2 linked regions of the Lonchura striata genome follow. The protein of the gene in region 2 interacts with the protein of the main gene of each other region in a pairwise test. Links are inferred from orthologs where the notes say so. Each region holds a gene or a part of one and is shown on either strand. Other genes may lie near its edges.

What was found.
Region 1: the proteins of ERBB3 (region 2) and PPM1B interact in a two-hybrid assay, tested with the Homo sapiens proteins (2 studies listed by BioGRID and IntAct, with this or other methods). The link is inferred for Lonchura striata from reciprocal best matches to the Homo sapiens genes ERBB3 and PPM1B.

Annotation. Positions count from the first base shown.
Region 1 is NC_134605.1:15,527,191-15,535,347, forward strand, and holds the start of PPM1B (protein phosphatase 1B), read left to right. Parts: upstream 1-4,186; 5' UTR 4,187-4,285; intron 4,286-8,157.
Region 2 is NC_134629.1:9,399,761-9,408,334, reverse strand, and holds the start of ERBB3 (receptor tyrosine-protein kinase erbB-3), read right to left. Parts: upstream 4,336-8,574; 5' UTR 4,317-4,335; coding exon 4,229-4,316; intron 331-4,228; coding exon 179-330; intron 1-178. Other genes in the region: RPS26 (small ribosomal subunit protein eS26), read right to left, coding at 6,576-6,611, 7,982-8,112. UniProt on the Homo sapiens protein: Tyrosine-protein kinase that plays an essential role as cell surface receptor for neuregulins.

The sequences.
Region 1 (8,157 bases), on a different chromosome or scaffold from region 2:
TCCACATGTTCTGGTTAGGAACTGAGTGCTCTTTTATCACAAGGACAGTGTCCTGAACTGTTTTCTAAAATTCCTCCATGTTTTTTTTAACCAAAGTACTGGAAATAGTATATCCACTTTTCAATTATTTCATTTTGACACTGTAACATTACTTTTAGCCTTTGTCTGTATCTGTCCTTTTTTCTTTGCTATCCATCCTGCATTCTTTCTATTCCCCATTGCTGTATTAACATTTAGTCTTCCTCTTGTTGAGCAAAACCAAGGCAAAATATTACATGAAACTTTCAAAATTTTCCCCCTTCATTTCTTAATGTGAAGATGACCTTATTATCTGTGGTGATTTCCTTCCTTTCTTCACAGATGGTGTAATCTAGAAGGGGTACACAGGGAAGTGGTGAAGAACTAACTACCCTTCTTTAGTGAATTAGTTTCCATGGGAAGTTTACTCAGCTGAAAACGAAAGAGTTTGTTTGCTTTGCAGATAAAAAAGTAACCATGTACCATAAATATTGTCAGTGTCTGAGAATGCCTTCTTGTGAAACCAGAGCAGTCACCATTTGTCAAACTAGTATGAAGGCCAGTTAAAACACTAGATGTATACATGCTTCAGATAACCTGCTAACTTTTATAAAACTGAGGTAAAAGGTGAGAAAATTGCATGAAAACACTGCCAGATCAAGTAGCTTCCCAAAGGTACTGATTTTTTGGTAGGACTTGATTTACAGTTTATTAATTTGAACATTAAACAAATGTAATTATTGAGATTTGTCAACAGAAACTTCTAGAAGGATTAATTGCCTCACCAATAACAATAGAACATTAAAAATCGGAATTTTAAAAACCCTGTAGAACTCACCTTCATTCCTCTTTAGTGCAGTATCAAAGCTGTTTGCAAATTACCTTTGTCCCATACTATTTCCCATTTATTACCATTTCTGTAGTTCACAGTTATTTTCATCACTACTAAGAGTAAAATGGGCATTGCATGTAATAAAAAATGCCGACTCTTTCAGGCATGCACATCATCGTTGATCCAACACACAAATATTCCCACAAATATCCTGCCTTGGTAATCTTAAATGAAGCTTAAGTGGAGCCAGCCATGAAATGGCACAAAATCCCTGGATTAGCCATTAACTCCACATTGCCACATACAAACCATTATTTCACCTACTTATTACTTCACCGCCCACCCCTGCTGCCTGTCACTGCTGCTTGCTTCTTGCCACACACACCTCTTGAGCAATGCCAGCGTTGAGTTTTAGCCCACAGAAACCAGCCAGATACGCACATTTTCTACTGATTAGGAATGTGCTGTTTACACTGGGTTATGGACTCGTGTGCACAGTGTAGGTTTTCAGTTAATCTCTAACATTTAAGCAGGTCATGTTTGAAAAGCTGTAGGGGATAACGCTTATTACTTTAGAGAAAATGTAGGGTAATATTCATTATTTTGGGAAGTCCACTCTTCCCAAAGAATTGTAAAGGTTGTACAGCTAGTGAGATGATATGGAAAACTTTTTCTAAATTTGTTATAAAGCCATATATGAAATTAGGTAAAAGGAAGGGGATGAGAACCCCTGTAAAAGCTAGAAGCAAGGAGAAAGGCAGGGTCAGCCTAATCTGTGATCTCTTGCAGTATTTCTGTAGATTTTTGTTTTAGTTTTCACTGGGGGGAAGAGTGGCTGCTACAGTAAATGGGATGGAAGAGTCAGTAGTAGCTGTGTATACAATGTACATACTGAGCAAAATTATCTATTGATACCCGGAGTATCTCTCTGGCAGGTGCCCAAGAAGCAAAGTAGAGGATGCAAACAGGGACCTGATAAAATTACAGCCCAGTTCCATACCTGCTGAAATCTGTGCAAGATGTATGATTACTTTAAAGAGTACCAAACTCTTAAAAAATTCCTTAGTGAATAGTGAATCTCTTGAAATAAAAAGTTTCAAAAATCCAAGAAATATCTAGGCTAAATAAATTTTGCATTAATCAACCCTAAGATACAGCATTTTTTTGCCAGATTTGTCACTGCTTTAATAATACATGAATTATATTTAAATGACTATGAGATATAAGCCTGAGGAAAGGGGAAAAAAAAAAAAGAAAAAAGATCCCTAGCTATATAAAAGTATCTTGAGTCCCAGATCATGTGGACACTGCAAAGTTAACTAGGTTGATTGGCAGCTGGGTCTGGGCTCTCAAATTAGCTTGTCTGTGAGCAAGTTTTCTATGACAGAAGGGTAACCGCAGCCTCAGCATTCTGGCTCTTTCTGAACTGGCTCACGGGTGCCTGTGCTGAGGCAATCTAGGTTTCATTCTCATTCAGCTCTATCAACTGGCAGGGAGCTTTGGGAAGCAGTACTGGCACACAGGGGTGAATAGCTCATCTTCTTGGTGTGGAGTAGATGCATTTGAACCCACAGAGAGCAAAGCATCTGCTCCTAGAGGTGTAGCTGCATCAGTCACCTGAGAGAAAAAGCGCCCTCAGAGTTCTGTGCAAGGATTTCCTAACGTGAGCGGTGGTGCCCGTGACCTTGGAGGCAAAAGCTGAACAGCATTTTCTGCACTGTGGACGTAACTCTGGAGGCCCTGGAAAAATAATCCCATAGTGTGTCTATGTGGAAGACTGGGAGGGAATTTCAACTCCAGATAGAAAAGCTCCCAACTTTTTCAAGGTCGGTTTACTTTGTAAACACTCCAGAAAATGAACAGATGAATAAATAAAAATGCTTTACGAGCAGTGTTTTGAGCCGTGGTCTCAAGTTCTGCGTGTGACAGGTGTTCATTCACTTTGATGTATTCAGTGTGTGGGGAGGAAACACCTCAGCATAAAGAAGGGGACAAGGGCATCAGCGAACTATGGTGTGGGAAGAGGTATGCCATTTTGGGAATGTAGCTTTGCCAGGGGAGGTTTAGGCTGGGCATCAGGAAGAATTTCTTCGCAGAAAGGGAGGTTAGACATCAGAATAGGCTGCCCAGGGAGATGGTGCAGTCACCATCCCTGGAGGTGTTTAAGGAAACACTGGATGTGGCACTCGGTGCCACGGTCTAGTTACATGGTGGTGTTCGGTCACGGGGTGGACTCGATGAACTCAGGAGTCTTTTCCAACCTGATCGATTCTGTGCTTCAGTGATTGCACTCTGCAGGCGGCCGGCCCCAGTGTCAGCAGGGCGCGGTGGAGGCACCAAGGGCGACCACGAGACGCCTCACTCGGGCACCCACACGAGCGGGACCGCGGACCCTCCGTCCCCTGAGCCGGGACACGGCGCTCGATCCCCGCGGGCAGAGGGGAAGGCAGAGGAGCGAGGAACCTGCTCCAGCCCCGCTCTTTGCAGCCCCGGCACCCCGAGCGGCGCCGTGCGAGGCGCAGCGGGTCCCGCCGGGGCGGCCAGGCCCCGCCCCCTCGGGCGGGACGCCTGCCCCCGCGCGCCCTGATTGGCTGGCGGTGATGTAATCGCGCGCACATACGGGTACTCCCCACGGCCCCCCGTGGGGCACGGGGGAGGTCGCGCGCCTCTCGCCCGCCCCGCGACCAATCGCCGTGCGGAGCGGCTCGGGGCGCGGGCCGCACCGCGCTCGGCTGCCCCGCCGGCCGCGCTTGATTGGCAGGGGCAGCGGCCAATCAGGATAAGGCACCCGCGGGTCGGTTCGCGCCCCCTTGGCGAAGCGGCGGCCGGGGCGAGAGAGGCCGCGGGAGTGGCGGCGCCGGGAGCCAATGGCCTGAAGGCAAACCGTGCCGCCGGGAGGGAGGGGATGGGGCGGCGGGACGGAGGCTGGGAGGGGCGAGGGCGCTCGCTGACAGCCGCTTCCGTCAGTCCTGCCGAGGCTGCGAGGCCGGAAAAAAAAAGTGCGGAGAAAGACGGAGTCCGTGCGCTGTCGTCTTGACTGATGAGAGCTGCAGCCAATAGTTACCAAAGCAGACGAGGGAGACCCAATCAGAGGAAAGCTTTTCGGCGGGGCCTGCGCGTGAGCGGCGAGCGCATCTGCCAATGACAGTGAGGAAGGGCTGTGCCGACGGGGCCGGCGGCCAATGGGCGGCGGGCCGGGGCGGGCGGGCTGAGCCCGGCCCCGCCCGCCTCTCCGAGCGCGGTGACGCGGGCGGGGGGGACGGCGGCTCCAACATGTCCGCGCTGCTGGCGGCGCTCCGAGTGCGCGACCGGGCGGCGGCGGCGGCCGGCGGCGGCCTGCGCGGGGCGGCGCGCACCTGAGTCCGAGCCAGCACCGCCCGCACCCGCGCCGGGCTCCGCAGCGCCGCCGGGTGCCGGGGGACGCGGGGCACGCAGGTAGAGCGGCCGGGGTAAAGCGGGGGAAGGGGCTGAGCGGGCGGGCCGGGGCTGCGGCGCCGGGGGGGCGCGGCGAACGCGGCGTGCGGCGGGTGCGCCCCCGGGGAGCGAGCGGGCGCAGCGAGGCCCGGCCGCCGCCTCCCTGCCGCCGCGGGAGAAGGGAGGGCCGGGGCCGCGCTGACACGGCCCAGGCCACGCACGGCCCTGTGGCGGGCGAGCCGGCGGCTCGGCCTCGCCTGGGTGGCACCGGAGTGTCCGGCGTGTGCCGGCGGCCGGCGGGCTCGCGCACGTGCATGGGCCGGGCCCTGGGGAGCGCCGGGCCGGGCCCGCGCTACCGGCGGGCTGGGTGGGGGGAGCGGCGGCACGGCCCCGGTGTCGGGGAGAAGGTCCGCAAGGCCTGGGTGCTTCTGACGGGCTGGGGATGAAAGCACGGGCAGATGGGCAGTGCCTGGCAGCTTTAGGCGGAAGGAGTTGAAGGCAGTTCTTAGTCGTAGTTTGGAGCTTGCTGGCTCTGCGAACCCAGTGGATATACTTTTATTATAATCTACAATAATACTTCTCTCGGAAGGATGGCGTAATTTTGATGAATTCACTTGGAGGCAGCTAGAAAAATCTGTACCTCTCTCGTTTTGTGTGCTGCGGTATGTTGAGGGATGTGTTTTTACTGTGGGGATGCAGGTGGTGGGTGAAACCACACGTGTTTGGGAGTAGTGGTACAGGAAGGCCTGTGAATATAGGAGTAATAGGTAAACGGGCTTCTGTGTGTTTTGAGAAATAAGGTGGTAAGTTGGCAGGCGTCTAAAGGCTATGGAGGAGGGAGGCTTTGGGTGGTAGGGAAGCCTGTATACAAGTTACAGGCACAGTGGTAACAGGTTGCTACAAGGTTCTGAACTTGTTTTGTTTCGTGGCCAGTGTGGTTAGACTTAATGTGCGAGACCTTAGTGTGTAATATGAGCTGGTATGTGGACAGCAAGTCATGCGTGTTCCTACTGCTGTGCTTTGGTTTGTTTGCTGCTCACACTGGGAGCTGAGAGAGATGCCCGGCTGTCACCGGCTCGATGAGCTCTCTGTCTGGTGTGTGGACATGGGCTAGAGTAGCGAGCAACGTGGTCTGTGTCCTGGAAACTTGAGAGGAGCTGTGAGTTGATGTTTCACGTGTAATGAAGTGGAAAGGCTGGATATTTGTTGTTTAGTTTGTGGAATACAAATGGGAAAACATGTAGCAAATGCTAGCTGTTGGGATCATGATAGTGCTTTTTGGAGAAAAGTCTGTGTGTGTGCTGGGGAGCTGTAGAACTGTAGTTACATGTTTCTGACAGGTATCAGGCACTCTAAATTTCTATTAGATCATCAACACTGTCTTCTTGTAGGTAAATTTTCAAGGATGACTGTGGACTATAGGAAAGTGAGGGGGCTTGGGTGGGTATTTGGGAATGGTTGAAAATGGAGGGAAGAATGAACTTGTACCCAGGGTGAAGATTATGTTAGGATATGTATACATGTGTGTATCAGGGGAATGGTATTTGTGCAAAAGGGAAGCTGGAGTTTTCGTACTGCTGAGTTGGTTAATCTGTGTATAAGAGAGGAGGCAGGCGTTTTTGGCTGAGGCTATGAAAAGTTGAAATGGTGTGGGGGAGGGATGATGAACCGGCTCCAGGGTCCTGTACAGGTTGGTGGCTGTGGGGATTCTTTGCTGCTCATTGTATGGAGAGAAATATTTTATAGTTATGATACCTGGTGAAAATGAAAAAAAGTGAATAAAGATGATGAGGCAGTTTAGTACTGTTAGGAATATTACTGGATTAAAGGAGGTTACAGGACAGTCAAGGGGTTTCTGGTAAAGTAAGTGCTTTTTTTGTTTGTTTATTTTATTCTGTTTGTTTCACTGGATAAATTGACCATTAACTTTAAAGGTTAACTTTTGCTGAAACTAGCACTCATCATGGTGTTGACAGGTCAGTGGCTAACTAAAAGCACTTAATGTGGTGTAGACAAGTTCTTGTGTGTGTGCGCTTGGGCTCCAGTACATCCATTATGTGTATGCATTTTCTATACCTTAACACTTAACTGAGTTTGCATATCCAGAGTATATGAAGTTTTCTATACTGGACTTGTGTTTGAGAGAGTACATCAACACTGGAGGGTCAGAGGTTTGTGAAGAGACAATCCATTTAGAATGGAATGCTGCTTGGATCAATTGGAAATGAGCATTAAATATGTGTGTATTCCATGTTCTGAAGTCTGGGATGGTATGTTCTGTTTATTTGTGTAGGCCCTTATCTGTTGTTCTGCAGATATTTAGAGGAGGCTGTTACATAGGGCGGTGATTTAATTAAGGCACAAAACATCAGGATGAGGGACATGTAATTAATGTAGTATGGAGAGGGCTGCATAGGGAATGCTGAGAACCCATTTTTCTTTTGTAGTGGTATCCATGAGGTGACCAGTTAGTGATGTAAGGAACAAGAGAAAGAAATGAGTAGTCTTGTAGCTATCCTGGACAATCCAGTTCTTTTCTTGTCTGGGGTACATTGCTCTTTTAAGCTTTTCCAATGATAATCACTAATATGTGCTTCTGATTTAGTAAACTTGTCTCAAGAAATAAAAATCTATTACAATTGAAATTCAAGCCTGCAAAATGTGTGTGTTGAACAATTGTTTCACATGCTCACTGTCAAAAACTACTGCTCTCAGGGGTCCAATGGAGAGCAGAGAGTATTTCTTATATGAATCTGTTGCTTCCATATGACAAAAGGGAAAGGCACTAAAATCTGCTCCTAGTAGTGGATGTAAAAATCTGTGTTTATGAAGTATTTGTGTTACTCTTTGAAGCAGGCCTTATTTAGACTGCAGCAAGGGATGGGATGTGCATGGAACAGTGGTCAGTGAGTATTGAATGTCCTCCTTAAATGGAGCAGACTGCAGCACACCTTGCTGAATGCTGCTGCCACAGTGTTTAGCAGGGCAGGGGTGGGCTTGGTTTGTCAGTGTGGTTTCTGTTGCTTGATTTGGTCTTGGGTTGTTTTTTTGTTTTTTTTTGTTTGTTTTTTTTTTTTAAAAAACACTGAAAATGAAAATGGATCATTTGGTAGTGCCTTGCATCATCAGTCCAGTAGGAATGCTTAAATCTGCCATATAGGTTTACTGCTGTAGCTTAGGAAGTGGGAAATGGCTGTTCTTTTCCAGTCAGCACTGGAACATAATTAGCTAACCATTGGCTTTTACAAGCATGGTTTCTTCCAAATGAATGGGAAAGCCTTGGTGAAAGAATCAAAGCTCCAGACTCCATGTTTCGACTGTGGAGAGTGATTACTGTAACAGGCCATACATATTTTTGTGCCCATAGTAGTTTTGGTTTTTTTTCCCCTAGGACTGGTTCTTTCTGCTCACTACCTTAATAAAATATGCTCTATTTTGTTTGGGGTTTGTTTTTTTAGTTCTTGTCACTTGTCCACTGATCTCTCTGAATTCAATGCTGCACTTCCCTGCAAAAGAAGCATTCTTCAGATCTTGGGCCTTTTAGCAACTGAAGTGATTCAATATGAGTATTGTTCTTCTCACTAAATTGGAGGAGAGCAGTGGTAATTTCTTTGGAAAACAGTTGAAATCAAAACTTTTGCTGTCTTGGTTCCTTTCTTACGTATTACTTTTTAAATTCTGTGCTTCAGTTTATGCTTGATGGTCTTCATGATTTGGCTTATAGCTGTACAGGGTGTGAATTGTAACTTCTTATTTCTCACTGTCTGTTAGCAATGTGAATGCAGCATAAATGTTTTATGCATCTTAGAGTAGTCAGGTTTAGCCCCAACCTCCAGCATCTCAGGTATATGTAAAATGTTCAGGGAATTTAATGTCAAAATCTAGACCAGTAA
Region 2 (8,574 bases):
GGTCTCCATGGTGGACATGTGACCACCAAACTGGCCACGTCCTCCCCTTGATGACCGCAGCGATGTCCCCTCTGAGGTCCCTGTCCCCTCTGAGGTCCCTGTCCCCTCTGAGGTCCCTGTCCCCTCGGAGCTGGCCACGTCCCCCCCTCGGCCACCCCCGCGTGTCCCTGGGGGTCACCTGGAGGAAGGAGAGGTCCTGGGTGTGGTCGATGAGGACGATCTCCAGGTTGCCCATGACGATCTCGCAGTTGTTGTACATCTTGTGCAGGGTCTGGTACTGGTGCTGCGCGTCGCCCGTCACGCTCAGCCCGTTCAGCGTCCCCGCGCACACTGCGGGCACCACCGCGTCACCGGGGCCACCGCGGCCACCACGGCCACCAGGGTCACCGGGGCCACCGCGGCCACCAGGGCCACCAGGGTCACCGGGGCCACCATGGCCACCAGGGCCACCGGGGCCACCACAGCCACCAGGGCCACAATGGCCACCAGGGTCACCAGGGCCATTGGGGCCACCAGGGCCACCACGGCCACCAGGGCCACTGGGGCCACCAGGGCCACCACGGCCACCAGGGCCACCACAGCCACCAGGGTCACCGGGGCCACCGCGGCCACCAGGGCCATTGGGGCCACCAGGGCCACCACAGCCACCAGGGCCACCAGGGTCACCGGGACCACCATGGCCACCGGGGCCACCAGGGCCACTGGGGCCACCACCATGGCCACCACAGCCACCAGGGTCACCAGGGCCACCAGGATCACCAGGGTCACCAGGGCCACCAGGATCACCAGGGTCACCGGGGCCACCGTGGCCACCATGACCACCAGGGCCACCACGTCACTGGGGCCACCACAGTCACCAGGGTGACCAGGGCCACCAGGGCTACCAGGGCCACCACAGCCACCATGGGCAACGGGGCCACTGGGGCCACCACAGCCACCCCTGCACGGTCACAGCAATGTCCCCTCCCAGCTGGCCATGTCCTGCCCGTGGTGGCCACGGTCGTGGTGGTTGTGTCACCTCCTCATGGCCATGTCATCCCCTTCACGTCCCTTGATGTCCCCAACCCCTCCAAACTGGCCACGGTCCCCATGGTCGCTGTGTCACCTCCTCAGTGGTCACAACGTCCCTTGGATGGTCACTACTCCTGTCCCCTCAGAGCTGGACATGTCCTGCCCGTGGTGGCCCCCGTGGTGGCCCTGTCCCCTCCATGGTCTCCTGGCTATGGCAGTGTCCCCATGGGGGTTCTGTCCTTTCCATGGTGTCCCCTGCAAACGTCCCCACCCCTCCATGGTGTTCCCCTTCAGGGTGTCCCTGTCCCCTCCACCACGTCCTTGTCTCCTCCATGTCCTTGTCCCCTCCACCATGCCCCTGTCTCCTCCATGTCCTTATTCCCTCCATGGTGTCCCTGTCCCTTCCATGGTGTCCCTGTCCCCTCCATGTCACCCAGCCCGCGGTGTCCCTGTCCCCTCCATGTCCCTGTCCCCTCCATGTCCCTGTCCCCTCCGTGTCCCTGTCCCCTCCACGGTGTCCCTGTCCCCTCCATGGTGGCCGTGTCCCCTCCACCACGCCCCTGTCCCCTCCATGTCCTTGTCCCCTCCATGTCCCTGTCCCCTCCATGTCCCTGTCCCTTCCATGGTGTCCCTGTCCCCTCCATGTCCCTGTCCCTTCCACGGTGTCCCTGTCCCCTCCACGGTGTCCCTGTCCCCTCCGTGTCACCCAGCCCGCGGTGTCCCTGTCCCCTCCATGTCCCTGTCCCCTCCATGTCCCTGTCCCCTCCGTGTCACCCAGCCCGCGGTGGCCGTGTCCCCTCCGTGTCACCCAGCCCGCGGTGTCCCCCTCCCCGCCGCTCTCCCCGCCCCGGGTCCTCCCCCGCCGCTCCCTCGCGGTCCCTCCCCGCTCGCGGTGCCCGAACCGGCCGGGCGAGCCTTGCGCAAGGCGGGCGCCTCGGGCACGGCCCCGCCACGCCCGCCCGGACTTCGGCCCCGCCGCCGCCGCCGCCCCGCGGGCCGAGCCCCGCGCCCGCCCCGCTGCGGGGTCCCGGCGGGGGCGGCGGCTCGGGGTCCCCCGGTTGTCGTGCGGGCGCACAGGGCCCCCTTTGTGCGCGGGGCCGGCACCGCACAAAGCCGCGATTGTGGCGGGGGACGCCCCCCAAACCGGGACCCCCGGGGGCACCGAGGGGCGCGGGGCCCCCCCGGATCCGCCAGCCGTGACTCAGGCCGGGGCGCGGGGAGGGGGGGCCGCGGTCAAAGGCGGCTTTGTCCGGCCCGGGACCCCTCCGGGGGCGGCGGCGGAGCTCGGGGCACGCACGGGAAGGGCCCCCCCGGCCCGGCCCGGGCCATTTGAGCAGGGAACGGGGCTATAAAAAGGTCCCAGCTGCGACGGCAGCGGCCCCGGGCCCCGCCGCACCGGGGAGGGGCACGGGGGGAGCCCGGGCCGGGGGGTGCTGCGACCCCCGTGAAACACCGGGGGGGACCGGGGGGGACCCCAAGGTGCCGGGGGGCAGCATCCAGCCCTGTCCGCCGGCTCCTCCGTTAATGACCCACCGACACCTTCAAGGCTCCGAGGGTCCCGCGGGGGGATTTTGGGGGGCCGCGACCCCCGGTTGCACCTGCCCGCGGGGGGGTGGGCGGCGATGGTGGGACCCCCCCGGTTCCCCCCGGGCGCCGCGGCGGCGGCGGGACCGGGCGTTATCAGCGCGGGGCCCCGCCGGCAGCTCCGGCACGTCCCCGCTATCAACCGCGTGCCACCGCGGCCCCCGGCGCCAGGAATAGCACCGGGGGCACCGGGGGGCACCGGGAGGGGCTCGGAGCGACCTCCTGCCCTCGGTCCCGGCGGCGGCACAAAGGGGGCTGTGTGCGTGCCGGGCCCCGAACAAAGGGGGCTCTCAGAGCCGGGGTTTGGGGGGTGCAGAGCTGGGGCCGCTCCCGGGGTGTCCCCGGGGTGTCCCCGGGCCCCCCGAGTGTCCCCGAGCCCCCCGAGTGTCCCCGAGGCTCCCTCTGTCCCCTCGGATCCGGAGCCCGTGGGTGGCACCCGAAGCGTCGCCGGTGGCACATGGAGCGGGGGACACAGCGAGGGGTCCCCCCGGTGTGCCCCCCACCCCCGGGCACCCCCGGGCACCCCCCCCGGGCATCCCCCGGTGTTTCGGGGCGGCGCCGGCCCCACCTGCGCGTCCAGCCCTCGGTGTTTTTCCTTTGGGGATTGAAAAACAACTCCCGGGCGGCCGCGGCCCTTCCGGGGTACCGGGGGTGCGGGGCGGCCTCGCGGGACGGCACCGGGGGGATCCTCCGGGGGTCCCCCGCTGGAAGGATCCCCCCCACCCCCGACCCCCCTCGGGGGTCCCGCCCGGAGCCCAAAAGCATCGCCGGGCTCGGCCCCGCAGCCTAAAATTAGCCCGGGCAGCTGCGGGGCCGCAGGTGTCGAGCCCGGGAGGGGACACCGAGAACGGGAGGGGACACCGAGAACGGGACCGAGCCCGGGAGGGGACACCGAGAACGGGAGGGGACACCGAGAACGGGAGGGGACACCGAGAACGGGACCGAGCCCCGGCAGGGGGCACCGAGAACGGGACCGAGCCCGGGAGGGGACACCGAGCCCGGGAGGGGGCACCGAGAACGGGAGGGGGCACCGAGAACGGGACCGAGCCCGGGAAGGGACACCGAGAACGGGAGGGGACACCGAGAACGGGAGGGGGCACCGAGCCCCGGGAGGGGACACCGAGAACAGGACCGAGCCCCAAAAAGGGGCACCGAGCCCCGGGACCGAATCAGGGAGAGGGCACCGAGAGCGGGACCGAGCCCCGGGAAGGGGCACCGAGTCTAGGACGGATCCCGGGGGCGGCCACCGAGCCAAGGACCGAGTCCCGGAAAGGGGCACCGAGCCCCGGGAGCGGCCACCGAGCCCCAGCCCCGCCGGAGCCGCAGTCCCGGGGAGGTTTCAGCGCCGGTCCCGGTGTCCCCGGAGCCGTGCGGTCCCCCCGGGGGCAGCACCGGGGGATCCCGGGACGCCCCCGCGGCGGAAACAGCCGCGGGAATTACCGGGATTGGAGCGGGGTCCGGTACCGGCGGAGTCGGGACAGCAGCACCGCCGCCACCCCCGAGCGCTCCCGCTCCCGCCGCCCATCCCGGGAGCCCCGAGCGCTCCGGTGCTTCCCCGGTTCCCCTGTGCCCGATCCCACGGCGCAGCCCCGCTGCCCCCGGTGCCGGTGCCGGTGCCGGTGCCGGTGCTCACCTGCCTGCGCGGAGCCGGGCGCGGGGAGCAGCAGCACCGGCAGCAGCAGCGGCAGCAGCGCCCGGTGCCGCTCCCGGTGCGGCTCCATCGCGGGCGCCGGTAGCGGCGGAGCGTGCCCGGGAATGCACCTGGCGCGGGGCCCCGGGGCGGGCGGGGCCGGGCCGGGCCGGGCCGGGGATGGCGGAGGGGGGGAGGACACCCCGCTGCCCCTCCCCGCCCCTCCCGGGACCCGCCCGGGGCGGTGGCACCGGCAGCGGCCGCCCTCACCGGGCCGGGACCGGCCCCGCGCGGCGCCTCCGGCCCGGCCCGGGGCCCTCCGGTCCGGTCAAGTGAAGCCCCCACGCCCCCAGCCCGGTCCCGGTGCCGGTCCCGGTGCAAATTCGCCCTCTACGAGCTCCCGGTGCCCCCGGCCCCGTTCACATCCCCCGGTCCCGGTTCGCCCCCTCCGAGCCCCGGTCCGGTCGCCGGTGCCCCCCCAGCCCCGTTCACACCACCGGTCCCGCCGCGCCCCCGGTCCCAGTCCCGGTACCGGAGCAAATTCGCCCCCTCCGGACTCCCGGTACGCCCCCCAGCGCCGTTCACACCCCCGGTCCCGGTCCCGGTCTCAATTCACCCCTTCCGGACTCCCGGTGCCCCCAGTCCCGTTCACACCCCCGGTCCCGGTCCCGGTTCGCCCCCTCTGGACCCCCGGTCCGGTCGCCGGTGCCCCCAGCCCCGTTCACACGCCCGGTCCCGCCGACCCCCGGTCCCGGTCTCAATTCGCCCCCTCCGTGCCCCCGGCCCCGTTCACATCCCCGGTCCCGGTCCCGGTGTCAATTCGCCCCCTCCGTGCCCCCGGTCCCGTTCACACCCCCGGTCCCGGTCCCGGTGTCAATTCACCCCTTCCGGACTCCCGGTGCCCCCAGTCCCGTTCACATCCCCGGTCCCGGTCCCGGTTCGCCCCCTCTGGACCCCCGGTCCGGTCACCGGTGCCCCCCCAGCCCCGTTCACACGCCCGGTCCCGGTCCCGGAGCAAATTCGCCCCTCCGGACTCCCGGTGCCCCCAGTCCCGGTCCTGGTCCGAGCCCCCGGTCCGGTCGCCGGTGCCCCCAGCCCCGTTCACACTCCCGGTCCCGGTTCCGGTCCCGGTCCCGGTCTCAATTCGCCCCCTCCGTGCCCCCGGCCCCGTTCACACCCCCGGTCCCGGTACCGGAGCAAATTCGCCCCTCCGGACTCCCGGTGCCCCCGGCCCCGTTCAGATCCCCCAGTCCCGGTCCTGGTCCGAGCCCCCGGTCCGGTCGCCGGTGCCCCCAGCCCCGTTCACACGCCCGGTCCCGCCGACCCCCGGTCCCGGTCCCGGTCTCAATTCGCCCCCTCCGTGCCCCCGGTGCCGTTCACACCCCCGGTCCCGGTTCACCCTCTCCATGCCCCCGGTCCGGTCACCGGTGCCCCCCAGCCCCGTTTGTACCCCCCGGTCTCATCGAGACCCCTCCCCAAAAAATCGAACGGGAGGGGGAGGGGAGGTAGGGACCATTGAAGACCCCCCCCAAAACGGGGGCAGGGGTCTGACCCCAAAAATGCCAAAACCGGCGGTTCTGACCCCAAAACCGGGGGGTCTGACCCCAAACACCCCAAAAACGGGGGGTCTGACCCCAAAAAATCCCAAAACCGGGGGGTCTGACCCCAAACACCCCAAAAACGGAGAGGGTCCTGCCCCAAAACCGGGGGGTCTGACCCCAAACACCCCAAAATGGGGGGGGTCTGACCCCAAACACCCCAAAACCGGGGGGTCTGACCCCAAACACCCCAAAAACGGGGGGTCTGGCCCCAAACACCCCAAAATGGGGGAGGTCTGGCCCCAAAAACGGGGGGTCTGACCCCAAACACCCCAAAATGGGGGGGGTCTGGCCCCAAACACCCCAAAATGGGGGAGGTCTGGCCCCAAAAACGGGGGGTCTGGCCCCAAACACCCCCAGGCCACACTGGAGGAACCCGGAGCCCCCCCAAATCCCCAAAACCACGGAGTAAGATCAGAGACCCCCTCAGGACCCCCCAAAACCCCGAGTCCCCCCAAAAATCGAACGGGTTTGGGCAGATCCTGAGACCCCCTCACTCAGGACCCCCCAAAATCCCAAATCCCCCCAAAACACCCTCAGGACCCCCCAAAAATCCCAAATCCCCCCAAAACAAGCGGGCTGGGGGAGATCCTGAGACCCCTCAGGACCCCCCAAAAATCCCAAATCCCCCCCAAAACACCCTCAGGACCCCCCAAAATCCCAAATCCCCCCAAAACGAGCGGGCTGGGGCAGATCCTTTATTGACGCTGCTCTGGGGGTCCCGCGGCTCCGGGGGTCCTCACCGGGGGTCCTCACATGGGTTTTGGGGGGGGGCGGGGGGCGGCTCCCTGCAGAGAGAACCCCAAAATTAGGGGGGCTGGAGGGGGGGGGGGGCACAGACCCATGGGACCCCCCAAAAATCCTTCCAGGAACCCCCAAAACTGTGTGGGACCCCCACCCAGGTACCCCCAGACCCCTCCAGGATCCCCCCCAAACGTCCCCTGGGACCCCCCAAAACCCCCTGAGACCCCTTGGGATCCCCTAAATTGTGTGGGACCCCCAAGGACCCCCCCAAACCCCTTTGGTGCCCCCAAAATCCCCCCAAATGCTCCCTGGGACCCCCTCAAGAACCCTTTAGGACCCCCAAAACCCCCTCCAGGTACCCCCAGACCCCCCCAAACGCCCTCTGGGACCCCCCAAAACCCCTCTGGGATCCCCCCAGGTCCCTTCTCAACACCCCTGGGACCCCCCAAACCCCTTGGGGATCCCCCCCCAAACATCCCTGGGACCTCCAAACCCCTCAGGGACCCCCAAAACCCCTCAGGGACACCCCCAGACCCCGCCAAGCCCCTGGGACCCCTGGGGGACCCCCCCAAACCCCTCCAGGACCCTTCTGAACACCCTTGGGACCCCTCAAACCCCTCGGGGACCCCCCAAAACCCCTCAGGGATGCCCCCAAAGAAGCCTGGGGCACCCCCAAACCGCCCTGGGACCCCCCCAAACCCCTCCAGGACCCTTCCAAACCCATCGGGGACACCCCCAACCCCACAGAGACCCCCCCAAACCCCTTTTGAACACACCTGGGACCCTTCAATCCCCTCAGGGACCCCCCAAACCCCTCATGGACCCCCCAGACCCCTCAGGGACCCTCCCAAACCCCTCAGGGACACCCCCAGACCCCTCGGGGACCCCCCCAAACCCCTCATGGACCCCCCAAACCCTTCATGGACCCCCCCAAACCCCTCATGGACCCCCCCAGACACCTCGGGGACCCCCCCAGACACCTTGAGAACCCCACAAACCTCTAATGGACCCCCCAAACCCGTCAGGGACCCTCCCAAACCCCTCAGGGACCCCCCCAGACCCCTCGGGGACCCTCCCAAACCCCTTAGGGACCCCACAAACCCCTCGGGGACCCCCCAGACCCCTCATAAACCCCCCCAGACCCCTCGGGGACCCCCCAAACCCTTCATGGACCCCCCCAAACCCCTCGGGGACCCCCCAAACCCCTCATGGACCCCCCCAGACCCCTCATGGACCCCCCCAGACCCCTCGGGGACCCTCCCAAACCCCTCATGGACCCCCCCAGACCCCTCATGGACCCCCCCAGACCCCTCGGGGACCCCCCAGACCCCTCATGGACCCCCCCAGACACCTCAAGGACCCCCCAGACCCCTCATGGACCCCCCCAGACCCCTCGGGGACCCCCCAGACTCACGGCGGGGCGGAAGCGGGGCGGGGGGGTCCGGTCCTTGCGGGCCTCGCGGGAGCGGTTGCGAACCACCTTGCTGTGGATGGCGCAGCTGACGCAGTAATGCAGCTTCACGTACAGCTTGGGCAGCACGTAGGCTGGGGAGGGAAAACGGGGTTCAGGGACCCCAAAAACGTAACCAGGGACCCCAAAAACCCCAAAAAACACACCCAGGGACCCCAAAAACCCTAAAAAACACACCCAGGGACCCCAAAAACACCCCCAGTAATGCAGCTTCACGTACAGCTTGGGCAGCACGTAGGCTGGGGAGGGAAAACGGGGTTCAGAGACCCCAAAAACGTAACCAGGGACCCCAAAAACGTAACCAGGGACCCCAAAAATGTAACCAGGGACCCCAAAAACCCCAAAAAACACACCCAGGGACCCCAAAAATGTAACCAGGAATCACAAAAACCCCAAAAACACACCCAGGGACCCCAAAAACACCCCCAGTAATGCAGCTTCATGTACAGCTTGGGCAGCACGTAGGCTGGGGGGGGAAAACGGGGTTCAGGGACCCCAAAAACGTAACCAGGGACCCCAAAAATGTAACCAGGGAT